Canis lupus familiaris: one gene and its partners. The protein of the gene in region 2 purifies or fractionates together with the protein of the main gene of each other region. This does not show direct contact. Links are inferred from orthologs where the notes say so. Each region holds a gene or a part of one and is shown on either strand. Other genes may lie near its edges.

Region 1 (4,078 bases), on a different chromosome or scaffold from region 2:
TGAAAAGCCATTGGTATCCCAGGTTAGAAATGCCTCACTCCATTTCTTCTTAGGAATTTCAAAACAGCCAACCTGAGGTACCTTTTCTATATATATATATATATATATATATATATATATATATATATTTTTTTTTTTTTTTTTTTCTCTTGACCTGAATTAGTTGTTGGAAGTTCTTTTCTTTTAGGTGCCAGCACAAGGCTCTGCAGGAATTTTCTGAAGTATTAAACCAGAACTAACCTTACCCTTAGATTTCCTTTGGGACAAACTTTCCAAGAATGAGCTCTTCAATGACTAGATGAACTGTCCAACACTTTTTGTAATACAGAAGACTGGTGGTGTCACTGCCCTGCTGCTTGTAAGGGTCAAGTAGGGGAACTGAACTGCACAATGTGTTGTAAACACTACACCTTCACAAATAAAGGATCATGCAAAGCTAATCTTTTAACACTTGGCACTTGCATAAGTTGCTATTGCTACCACCATGTCTGTACATTTGTATTATATACAAAAGACCCACATAATTTATTCTGTGTGTTTAACTATTCAGACATGGTAGCAACTGTAATAATTACAAAAATAACTAAACTATTCCTTAGATATTATTGTTTTTATAGACTAATAAATCTGAAGATCATTAGCAGACATGTATTACCTCCCAGTACGCACAGTTGCTAATTTGGAACCCACACTTATATACTCAATACTAAAATAGAGCTAACCTTGTCCAATAATCAATCAATCAGTTGCTGATAAGTTAACAAGATCCCGTGACTGAATGTCTCAAATAGAAGTAAAGACAACATCTGCATAGCATTCATCATATAACCAATTCTTATTAATCACATAGGAAATGGTTCTTTAAATGAAAATATTCTGATGTCAGGATGAAGGCCCAAAAGAGCATTTCCAGCTTGCTCCTTTCTAGTTTTGAAGGTGGTTCTCTGGGCTTTCTGGGTTTTTATTTTCCTCAGAGGAGTCTGGTTTGGCCATGATTATATTATTGGTTCCAAGAGCCTCAGGTTGCTTATCATCACCATCAAAGATTATATCTTCTGGATTTGGAGGTGGGGGGCAGAAGTCTTCATTGGGAAAGATCTCCTGGAAAAGTGTTTCAGCTTGCTTGACTGCGTGCTCATTTCCCAGTCCGCAGTCAGGCCCAGAGCAGACATAAACATTGGAAGGTAAGCCATTGTATGAGCTTCTGCTGATTCCCGAGGAATCTCTCATATTAAAATAAAGAGCCCACAAGAGTCTTGGCTTTGTGAGTTCTTCCTTGTCTATTTCTGTTTCAGTATATGGGGTGAATAATTTCTTCACTACTGACTCTAAGTCTTCTCTTGCTGTTTTAGAAGATGAACAGGTCAGATGTACCAGATAGGTGTCTTTCATGCATGTCATGGTTGAAGAACATAATTCAGTGACACGAACAGCACATGTTCCTGATTCCATTGGAGGCACTATCAAAATGGAAATTTGCTGATCTGAATCTGCCTTCTTGAGTATAGACTGATCTGTAATGAGCACTGCCCTGGAGATCTGCTTATATTGCACATTTGAGCATGTTTCCTCAGAAAGGTAACTATCCTCCACAATAAAATATTTAGCATTTATTCTTTGATCTAAGTGATCTATAATTGCTTTACATCTTCCAGATTCTTTGTCAACTATAAGGCATTGAACTTTATGGCGAAGACAATAGATTCCACCAAAAACTGCACACATCCTGCAGAAACACTGGGGAATTTCTCCTTGGCCATACAAGGGAAATAAAAAGGGAGTGTTGCCAAACCGTCCAAGACACCGAAGGAAGTTTTTAGTTGCTTTAAGGCCATCTATTGTGGTGCAAGAGGACTCTGTCATTGCAATTGAGTGCAGCACAAAATGTTGGAGGTTGGGGGTTAATTTTTTAGTTTTTAAGTAATCTGAAAATGAGCAATGCACAAAAGCTTGGTATTGATCAGGATGTTGTTCATAGTCTAAACAAAATGTAAGAAATTTCATCAGTATCCTCTTTTCAACCATAGTGAGTTCTTTGCTATTAAAGACATCTGCTCTGGAACAAGGCACCTGTTCTACTTTTCCCTCGCGAAATGCAAGAATCCTAGTGACGTTTTTAAATTCTGCATAACGACTAACATTTGATTTGATTAAAAGATCGATTAGCAATCCTTGAGAATACAGCAGCTTTGATACCAAATCAATATTAAATCTCCTGCCTTCTTTAACTATTTGAGAGTAAGTAATCCTATTTCTCTTTGGTTGATCAGTGTTATCTTCCTCTATAGGTTTGTTTTCATCTTTATCTCCACCTGAAGCTGTGTTTATACAGGTTTTATCTCCACAACATTTTTCTTCTGCCAAGATGTCCTCTACATCAGTTACTTCCAGTGAAATCTCTTCATCACTTTTTGGAGTGTCTTTGGCATGCGTTTCAGAGCTAGTAACATGTAATGAGTTTGTTTCTTCGGACAAGCACACAGAATCCAGAGGTTTAGATGTTACTGCGGAAGGATTTTTCTGCAGAGCACTGATCTCTTCAATATTGTCATCCATATCCTGACTGGCATAACAGAAAACTTCTATGTGTTCAATGGTTTCATCCTTCTTGCGAAGAGCAATGGCTTCTTCTGTTTCATGCACCAGGCCTTGCCATGAAGCAGTGCTTTCTTCTGCATTGTCACCGTTTTGCTGATGCTCCTTTAACCAGGAGAGCAATCCCGAAAAGCTGAAACTTGCCCAGTTTCCTCCATAGTAACTTCTTGAATCAAGATGAAGAACTCTCTGACCACTTCTTGAACATGCAGCTGCCAGGATGGATTCAGGTAGACCTGTCCCTATTATGACCACATCGAACTCTGTGGGAAGACTGTCCGCCATTCTGGGAGATAAAGGGTCTGGTGACAACCGTCGATAAAAGAAATGTATGTGAGTCAAGGCTGAGGGCTCAGCGGAGGTGTGAATATGCTGTAATAAAATCTCTCCTTGTGATACTCCAGTTCATCCCAGAAGTCCTGAGGTTGCAGGTCCTAACTGTTTAACAGTTACCCTTTCTTAATATTGTTTTCCTTATAAGTCAGTAGCATAAAAATAGGTAAGGTATATCTAATCACATCTGAGAACACTAAAACGGATGTGTGGTTTTCATTCCTGCATTTCATCTTAGCAGTAAATGTCAAAATGCATCACACATGCATTTGTGACTGGAACTCTTCTCTGAAAGAAGAAAATTCAAGAAAGAATACAGTTGTAAACAATATTAAGAGAAAAATAATTTCATGCAACAGCAATTACAATTACTCCATTGGAGTCTGACTTGTTATCAAGACATAAGCCTCTAGGAAAGCAAGTCATTAAATGCTTTCTTACATATTTTCTAATTTCTCAAAAATGGACAAAAGAGATTTACCCCCAAAAACACGCAATAATGAGGAAGGGACATCATGATGTCCCATTAAGCAAAGGATTTCCATAATATAATTCTGTAACTTTTGCTTTTAATAAAATATTTGAACAAACTATACAGAACTGTGAGCTTAGACTGTAAGAAATGTGTGGTTCCGCCGTGTTTATGGAAACAGACTACATACTATGTGCACATTGTCATGATGAGGAATATTTCTGCAGCCAATTTAGCCTGTGGGTGATTTTAGAACAGTTGAATGAAAGATATTTCCATGCCACAACCACCCTTAGGATCTCGTGGTAGCATCATGAGACCATTTCAACTGAATTAACCAGCCAGATTATTGCAAAAGGATTAATTCATTAAAACAACTGGCATTTCGAGATATTTAGGTGCAAACAGGTCTACTGAAGGAAAATAGGCATTTTTAACAAATCTTCATATGAATGTACATATGCACATGTATTTTTTTTAGGTTTAAGTTAAAACAGAAAATTCCTACCTTTGTAAATTAAAATATCTTAACATAAAAAATACCTACTTCTAAAATCCAAGAGAAAAAAAAAATCCAAGAGAACATAGGGTGACTTGCATTTTGCCAGACTCTGGCTCTATGACCTTGAATCTCTGTATCCCAAGATAAAGGCCTGTCTCAACATCCTCTGCTAAGAT
Region 2 (4,117 bases):
AGGGCCTAGGAAAGACAGACTATATAGCGGGCACTATACATACATTTGCAGAGCCTGAGAAAGATGTGGAAGAAATATAAAGAATTTAAAGCCATACTTTCTTAAATGTGAGCTATAAACACAGGGCACATGGACACACACTTCTCACAAATACATCACATAGGCTCAGTCACATATACACACTCACTGGCCACCTTGAACCCCAGGAAGGCTCTCTAGGAAACCTTCCTGAGCTGGTCCAGGAGCCACAGAAGGCTTTAGGCAGAGATGTGATATGATCAAACCTGCATTTTAGGAAAGCTGATCCAGCAGCACAGATGATGAATTTATAATGGAGATGACAGAGTAGAGATTGGGGAAACATTGAAAAGGCTTTCAACACACAGGGAAGAAATGAGCTTGGATTCTAGTGCAGTGTTTAAGAGTTACTACAGAAATTTGGGGAGAGAATAGTGCCATTCCCTATAGTAGGAAACATAAAGGCCAAAGTTTAAGAATGGATGGAATACAGTGAAACCTTTTACTTTAGGAGGCTCAGATGTCTCTGGAACACCCAGGTGACGACGTCCAATAGGCTGATGAATGTGTACATATATATGTTCATTTTTACAGCTCACAAGACATCTGGGCTGGAGACACAAGTTTGAGTGTTATCAGCTTACAGGGAGTAATTAAAACCATGACTGTGGATGAAGTCACCCAGAGAAAGTGTGAGGCCAGAAAAATCTGTGGGTCCAGGACAGAGCTCTGGGGAGCTCCGACTCCAAACGGGAGAAGGCTTGGACTTGTGAATGTTCTCCCAGGAATAGCGTGTGATGTGAAAGGGGGTGAGGAAAGGGCCCTGGCGATCACCAACATCTACGGAAGAAGGTGCACAGCGAGGAAGAGCGGTTCAGAGGCGCAGGAGAAGCCAGGAAAGGTTGTCACGCGGCAGGAAGTCGGCTACATAAAAGCTACAGACAGGAGACTCCACCCGTTCGATGTGGCAACTAGGAGGCGGCCACGGTGCCCAGAGTGATGTCAGCGGGATGGTGAGTGCGTGAGCCCCCCGCTGTCTAAAAAACTGCAGTTTGAGCAGCTGACCAAACGCAAGGCCCGACAGCTCCCACGCGCGCTGCAAAGCCGCGCATGCGCACTCGGAGGCACCAGCGGGCTAATCACAGGGCTGTGGCCTCTTGGGCGGGGACGGGCGCACGCGCCTCCCGAGCCCGCCTACTCCGCCCACGGCCCCTCCCCGGCCTGCAGAGGGCGCTGCGCCTCGGAGAGCCGGGCGTGGAGCCGCTCTAGCCTACGCCCGGGCTCGGTGGCGGGCGCCGCAGCTCCGCGCGCCCCCCAGACACCTCCCCTCGGCGCAGGTGGGTCCGCCCGCGGGGGGCGGGAGCGCCCGGCATCTGCGGGTGGGCGGGTAGCGGCAGCCCGCGGGCGCGGAGTGGTCCCCGTCGCTCAGGTGCCCTGGCGTGGGTCCGGCCCGGAGGGTCGCGCTGCGGCAAGGCGGCACGGGCGCGAGTGCCGGTCTGGGTGGGCGCCTCCTCCCGGACAAGCGCTGCGCGTCCCGGGACCCGCTCTCGCCGGGGTCCTCGGCACAGGCTCGCGTGCGGCTTCCGGGGACCAGCTGGGGGCGGGGCTAGCGGGCGGGGCTCCCGTGATTGACACTTCTCTCCCCAGGTCTCTCGGGCTTTCTCTGGACCCCTCCCCTGTCCTGAACCCTGAGCCGGCACCATGGTGAGAACCGTCCAGCCCCTCACCTCCGCATGCCCGCGGACCGCGTAGCCTCGCCTCCGTTGCCCTCTGTATAGCTAGGGCTGCGCCGTCGGGGGCTCGGGGGTCTGCCCCTGCGAGGCAGCCTGCACCCCTCCAACCCCGCCCCCGCGATCCTTGTAGCACGGGCGCCTGAAGGTGAAGACCTCGGAAGAGCAGGCGGAGGCCAAAAGGCTAGAGCGGGAGCAGAAGCTGAAGCTCTACCAGTCAGCCACCCAGACTGTCTTCCAGAAGGTGGGGCCCTTAGGGGTAGCCCCTTTTCCAGGTGGCCTCTTAGTATAGCACAGAGGCCAGGAGCTGGGCCTTAGAGTCAGACTGCCTGGATCTATATCTCGGTTCTATGACTTACAAGCTAAGCTGTGCGACCTTGGGCAAGTCCTTGACTTTTTTTAAGTTTCAGTTTGCTCTTCTGTAAAATGGGCCTTACTGCATAAAGTTGTTGTGAAAATTCATTGAGAGGATACCCAGAAGCCCATAAAGCATTCTGCGTGGTACCTATTGTGTAGCATGTGTTTACAGAATATTCAGGAGTTCTGATTATTGCTACTTAACCTCACAGTAGGAGAATGATTTGATCTCTGACCCTGCTGCCTGTCTTCTCAGCGCCAGGCTGGTGAGCTGGATGAATCAGTGCTGGAACTGACAAGCCAGATTCTGGGAGCCAACCCTGACTTTGCCACCCTGTGGAACTGTCGGCGTGAGGTGCTTCAGCGGCTGGAGGCCCAAAAGTGCGTAGGAGTTCAGGGCCCCAGGAAGATGGTGCTGGCCCTGCCCTGCCTGGGTCCAGGGGTAGAGGAAGAATGGGGCAGCCAGGGGTATAGGCAGAGGGTAGTGGAGGGCTGGGTGTAGAAAGGCAGAGGTGAGCTGAGGTTGAGTGCTGGAGGGCCCTGAGTCCCATTTCCCTCTGGGTGCAGGTCCCCCGAGGAGCTGGCAGCTCTGGTGAAGACAGAACTGGGCTTCCTGGAAAGCTGCCTGCGGGTGAATCCCAAGTCCTATGGTACCTGGCACCACCGCTGCTGGCTGCTGGGCCGCCTGCCGGAGCCCAACTGGGCCCGGGAGCTGGAGTTATGTGCCCGCTTCCTCGAGGTTGATGAACGGAACTGTACGTGTCTGCCTGCTGATCTGCCCTGCATTCTGGTTACTGGGGCCTCAGGAAGGCCCAGAGTTGGGAGGGATGGCCAGGATGGGCCTGCGAGCTGATGGCAAAGGGGCTGATGGAGACAAACCAATACCCTGTAGAACACACATGGGAGTTTCTTGAGGGCTTCTAAGAGAACTTGAGGGGTTCCAGCTATGGAGCTCCCCTTGCCCTACTTCTGAGATGTGCTGTCACTGTTCCCCTAGTTCACTGCTGGGATTACCGGCGTTTTGTGGCCGCTCAGGCAGCTGTGCCTCCTGCAGAGGAGTTAGCCTTCACTGACAGCCTCATTACCCGAAACTTTTCCAACTACTCCTCTTGGCATTACCGCTCCTGTCTCTTGCCCCAGCTGCACCCCCAGCCAGACTCTGGACCACAGGGACGTCTCCCTGAGGATGTGCTCCTCAAAGGTTAGCAGGGTCAGAGGGTGCTGGGGCAGACTATGGTGCTGTCTTTCCAGCCTTGTTACCTAACCCTGTTCCTGAACCTGCTGCTTGGGCTTATTGAGCACCTACTTTGTGCCTGGCTTTGGGGGTGTGTAAGATTCAGCCCCAGGCTGCAGGGAACACAAGTGTCCAGTGGGAAAGATGCAGCTGCTGTGCAAGGCCAGCAGATAAATGGAACCGAGGGCTGGCAGCACTCCAGGGGGAGGGTGGGATGCTGGGGTGGCCAGGAGCCACCAGGGTCCTGGCCATAGCCCATGCTCCTTGGCCCCTTCAGAACTGGAGCTGGTACAGAACGCCTTCTTCACTGACCCCAATGATCAGAGCGCCTGGTTCTATCACCGCTGGCTCCTGGGAAGAGGTGAGCAGTGGGGAAAGAGGCTGGGTCTTTAGGGTTTTGAAAGAACAGAAGAGGATATAAGGGGAGCTGAGTTTGTGTCTTCCCCAGCTGACCCCCAGGATGCCCTGCGCTGCCTGCACGTGAGCCGAGATGAGGCCTGTCTGACTGTCTCCTTCTCTCGGCCTGTCCTGGTGAGTCCTGCAGCTTTTCCGAGAAAGCATCATGGATGTGGGTCTGGTGCTGTGGGGCTGACAGGTCTGTCTTTGTCCCCTGGGCCAGGTGGGGCCCAGGACAGAGACATTGCTGCTCATGGTGGACGAGTCACCCTTGGCTGTGGAATGGAGGACCCCAGATGGCAGAAACTGGCCTGGCCACGTCTGGGTATCCCAGGATTCGAGGAGCAGAGTGGGGGGAACTGGGGCAGGGCTGGAGTGGGAT
Region 3 (3,648 bases), on a different chromosome or scaffold from region 2:
CTCAAGTGACTGGACCACTCAGGCACCCCAATTCCTCTTGCCCTTTTAAGCCAGAAGTTAGCTTAAAGAATTTCATGTGGTTAAAAAAAATTAAAAAGGCATAATTATATTGTGACTTGGTTTCTTTATATTGGGAAGTATAGAGAGGACACACTGAGCTACAGAAGAAATTCCTATGTTTATTTAATATATATCTACACAAAACAAAAAAATATTTTGTCAGTCTAGCAGTTTAATGTATTTAGGATGTATCCACATTAACAAGATGAAAGTAGCACAGTACAGATGAATGTATAAGCCCTGGGGTCTAACAGACTTGAGTTTAAGTTTTGGCTCACAAATCTACGAGATCTGTGATCTTTGGACAAGTTATTTAGCCCCTTTGGGTCTTAGTTTCCTCATTTGTAAAATGGGCATGTCACAGATACTGATGTCATATGTTTGTAAGGACCAAATGAAATAATATATTTATGATGTTTAGGATATTGTCTAGTACACAGAAAACACTCAATGAATGGTAGCTTTAGAAAATGTGACACTTAAAACTGCCCTCTCCCTCAATGGCATGAGAAAGTGAGTTATACTGCAATATGTGAGCAACTTGATAGGTCATATGATCTATAAAAAGAGTCTTCAACTTACAAATTCTGTACCAAAAGTTATAAACAAATTGCTAATATGCCATAAAGACAACATTCTAAATGGTGGTTAGGCTGCTCACATCAGTAAATTTAAACCATTTTATAGCTGACCTTTAGTACAAAGAGTACATACATTACTATATAATTATTCTTGTTCTCATGGGATGGCACCTCCTAGAGGATGGGGGCTCCTGAAGGAGGAGTGAGCTATCAGTGATCTTGAGAGTAAAGAACTATAGACCAGTCTGTTCATCAGTATGTGTGAGTAAATGGGATACTACCTGTATTAAGAAAAGAGATACATCGGTTTCAGGAAAAAAAAAAAAAACCTGGAGTAACAAGCTATAAAAACTAGCAAGTCACAGAATCACAATTATCACTTGGGCTACTTAGGCTAGCATCATTGTGGTGATAATAGAGAATGTCTTGGTGTGCTCCTGCACACAACTTTAACTCGTATAACACAGATCACTTTATATTTTTAGTATGTTTTCAAATCAAATAGTTCCATATGAACACAAGGGAGACAAGTCTATGCTATTCAACATCTATATATCTACAAATAAGAAAAATAGATGCAAACTTGCTAATTGGTCAAATAAAGTATTTGTTAAAAAATAGAAATCTGCAGGTGGCTTATGTTTGCTACACAGACAAAGCCTAGGTGATGCTCTAAGAACTTTTATAGACAATCTGGAAAACAGAAGTTATCAATTAGTAACTAGGCTAAACACAGGATGAAATACTGAATTAGAACAAAGCTATATAACAACTTGAAAACTATTCATATTTAATAGTATATAATTAGTATCAAAAGTAGCATTATTATTATTTTGTACTATGATAACACTGAAGTCTATCTCCTTGGGAAGCAAATTATCTCATAACAAAATTATCCTTTAATTTATAGCCTTTTAGCTGGTAGTTTAGATCACATTAGAACTTGAATAATAAGCTCTTATGTGAAAAGCCTTCCCATTTTGGTGAAAAAACACTGAAGTCCACTCAGGAAAAAAAATGTCCTACACAAGGGGGTGCCTGGGTGCCTCAATTAAGCATCCTACTCTTGATTTCCACTCAGGAGATCAAGCCCCGCATCAGGCTCTGTGCTCAGCAGGGAGTCTGCTTTTCTCTTTCTCTCTCTGTGCTCAGGATCTCTCTCTAAAATAATAGATCTTAAAAAAAATCACCTAGGCTATCTGGCTGAAAACATGTCAGCAATTCTGCTTGGAAAAAACTGGAACATCAAAGCAAAAATGCCTTGGTCATTTTAAGCCATAAATGTAGAACTCGAACCATCTTGGGTTCCTATTAAACTAATAGAATGAATGATGGATGACTCCCTACTTTTGATATCACTGGTTGAATAGGATTATCCAGGATCACCATTAAACTCTGAAGATGAGAAACAAGGAATGAGACAAAAAAAACCTATAGATACATGGGTTATGGCCTTGCCAGTACAACTAAAAATTAAGTCAATGAAGCCATTTGTTTCCATAAGATCCCTAGCACTAGTTGGATTGAAACTTCCATCTGTGGTCTTAAAACAATGTTAAATTATCCACTTTTTGATTCAATAGACAGATATGCCAATTCTATCTGTGAAAAGTTTAGATTTGTGCCTCAAAAAATATATTTTCTGTTCTTCTCTGTCAGGTACAGAGAAGTGTATTAATACATATACACATGGATCTTCATCTGAATGGAATCATAGTTCACTTTTGGCAGCTTGTGTCAGCCTGTGCTGTACCAGTTAATAGCTTTGCCCAGAAGTGCTATCACAAAATTCCACCTTGATTTAACCTATTCCTCAGCAGCTATGATAGTAATTTTTGGGACACCAGCTTATGTCAAAACATTAAAGGAATTGTGTTAACTCTGAAAAACTGTAAGTTACGTGTTCTTCTGCAAAATAAGAAAATGCTTTAAGACAATTTAAAAATTACATTTTGTATATAATTAGTTACACTCCTTTTGAAATGACTCAGAGATTAACAAAGAAAAACAGTGTATTTCAAAATGATAAAACAATAGGCCAACAGTTTAAATTAGAAGCCATGTTCCTTTAGAAAACTGGCATTATAAATTTTATTTTTCAGAATATATATTTTTAACATCTTTCATCCTTATTCCCACAATGGAACTCATAAATGCTCTCCTGCAAATCCATCATATAGTCAAGAACATGAAAATACTGAAGACTATATTTTAAGTATAAAGAAGCTTTGTCATTCACAGGAAAAAGTTCGGAGGCAAATTACAAAGATAGTATTAAATGATAGACAGGCTCTTCTAGTCTTTTTTCCCCACATTCTAGAGGAAAAAACAATTCACTTTCCCTACCAAACCAACTTTTCAACACAAAACTGAGAAACACCAACAGCTTACCTGTTTGACTGCATTATCATTTCCTAAACCACTGTCTGGGCCAGAGCAGACATAAACGTTGGATGGTAAATCATTATAAGAGTTCCTGCTGACGTCTGAAGAATCTCTCATATTGAAGTAAAGAGCCCATAGAAGCCTCGGTTTTTCAACTTCTTCATTTTCTAAATGTAGACATAAATTTTACTCACATCTAAAGCACAATAAACCTGTCAATTAATACAATTTGTAGCCAATTACTAACAAAGCCGTGATTATATAGTGTAGTAAATCAGAGCTTTGTATGTAAAAAATAGCAAATCTTTATCCACACCCACTCATACATGTATATATTTCAAGTACTGATGGCTTTTCAACCTAAGACAAGTTAGATATCAAAAATTATTTTGATCACTAGTAAGTTACTTAGATATAACTCCAATTGTGTTCTCTTGGATTTCTATTACTTCTACATAGCAGTATCAAAGTGCTTCTGAACACATTCATCCTTAAATTATACCACTGAATAAGATAATAATTTTTTGTTTTATATAAACAAACCAGCTTAAAAAATTATATATTAAGTCAATGATCTATACAGGATTATGAGATGTCCAGAAGACACAAATCTATAGAGCTA

Evidence for each region.
Region 1: the proteins of RABGGTA (region 2) and CHML purify together in Homo sapiens (co-immunoprecipitation; 3 studies listed by BioGRID and IntAct, counting the BioPlex papers as one, with this or other methods). This does not show direct contact. The link is inferred for Canis lupus familiaris from reciprocal best matches to the Homo sapiens genes RABGGTA and CHML.
Region 3: the proteins of RABGGTA (region 2) and CHM purify together in Homo sapiens (co-immunoprecipitation; 4 studies listed by BioGRID and IntAct, counting the BioPlex papers as one, with this or other methods). This does not show direct contact. The link is inferred for Canis lupus familiaris from reciprocal best matches to the Homo sapiens genes RABGGTA and CHM.

Annotation. Positions count from the first base shown.
Region 1 is NC_049228.1:32,966,984-32,971,061, forward strand, and holds CHML (rab proteins geranylgeranyltransferase component A 2), read right to left. Parts: upstream 2,910-4,078; 5' UTR 2,881-2,909; coding exon 925-2,880; 3' UTR 142-924; downstream 1-141. UniProt on the Homo sapiens protein: Substrate-binding subunit (component A) of the Rab geranylgeranyltransferase (GGTase) complex. Binds unprenylated Rab proteins and presents the substrate peptide to the catalytic component B.
Region 2 is NC_049229.1:4,373,521-4,377,637, reverse strand, and holds the start of RABGGTA (geranylgeranyl transferase type-2 subunit alpha), read left to right. Parts: upstream 1-1,222; 5' UTR 1,223-1,355; exon of another isoform or gene 1,356-1,447; intron 1,448-1,665; 5' UTR 1,666-1,719; coding exon 1,720-1,722; intron 1,723-1,881; coding exon 1,882-1,992; intron 1,993-2,361; coding exon 2,362-2,486; intron 2,487-2,672; coding exon 2,673-2,860; intron 2,861-3,102; coding exon 3,103-3,306; intron 3,307-3,616; coding exon 3,617-3,700; intron 3,701-3,787; coding exon 3,788-3,870; intron 3,871-3,958; coding exon 3,959-4,060; intron 4,061-4,117. UniProt on the Homo sapiens protein: Catalyzes the transfer of a geranylgeranyl moiety from geranylgeranyl diphosphate to both cysteines of Rab proteins with the C-terminal sequence -XXCC, -XCXC and -CCXX, such as RAB1A, RAB3A, RAB5A and RAB7A.
Region 3 is NC_049260.1:66,851,666-66,855,313, forward strand, and holds part of CHM (rab proteins geranylgeranyltransferase component A 1), read right to left. Parts: intron 3,239-3,648; coding exon of another isoform or gene 3,213-3,238; exon of another isoform or gene 3,194-3,212; coding exon 3,033-3,193; intron 1-3,032. UniProt on the Homo sapiens protein: Substrate-binding subunit of the Rab geranylgeranyltransferase (GGTase) complex.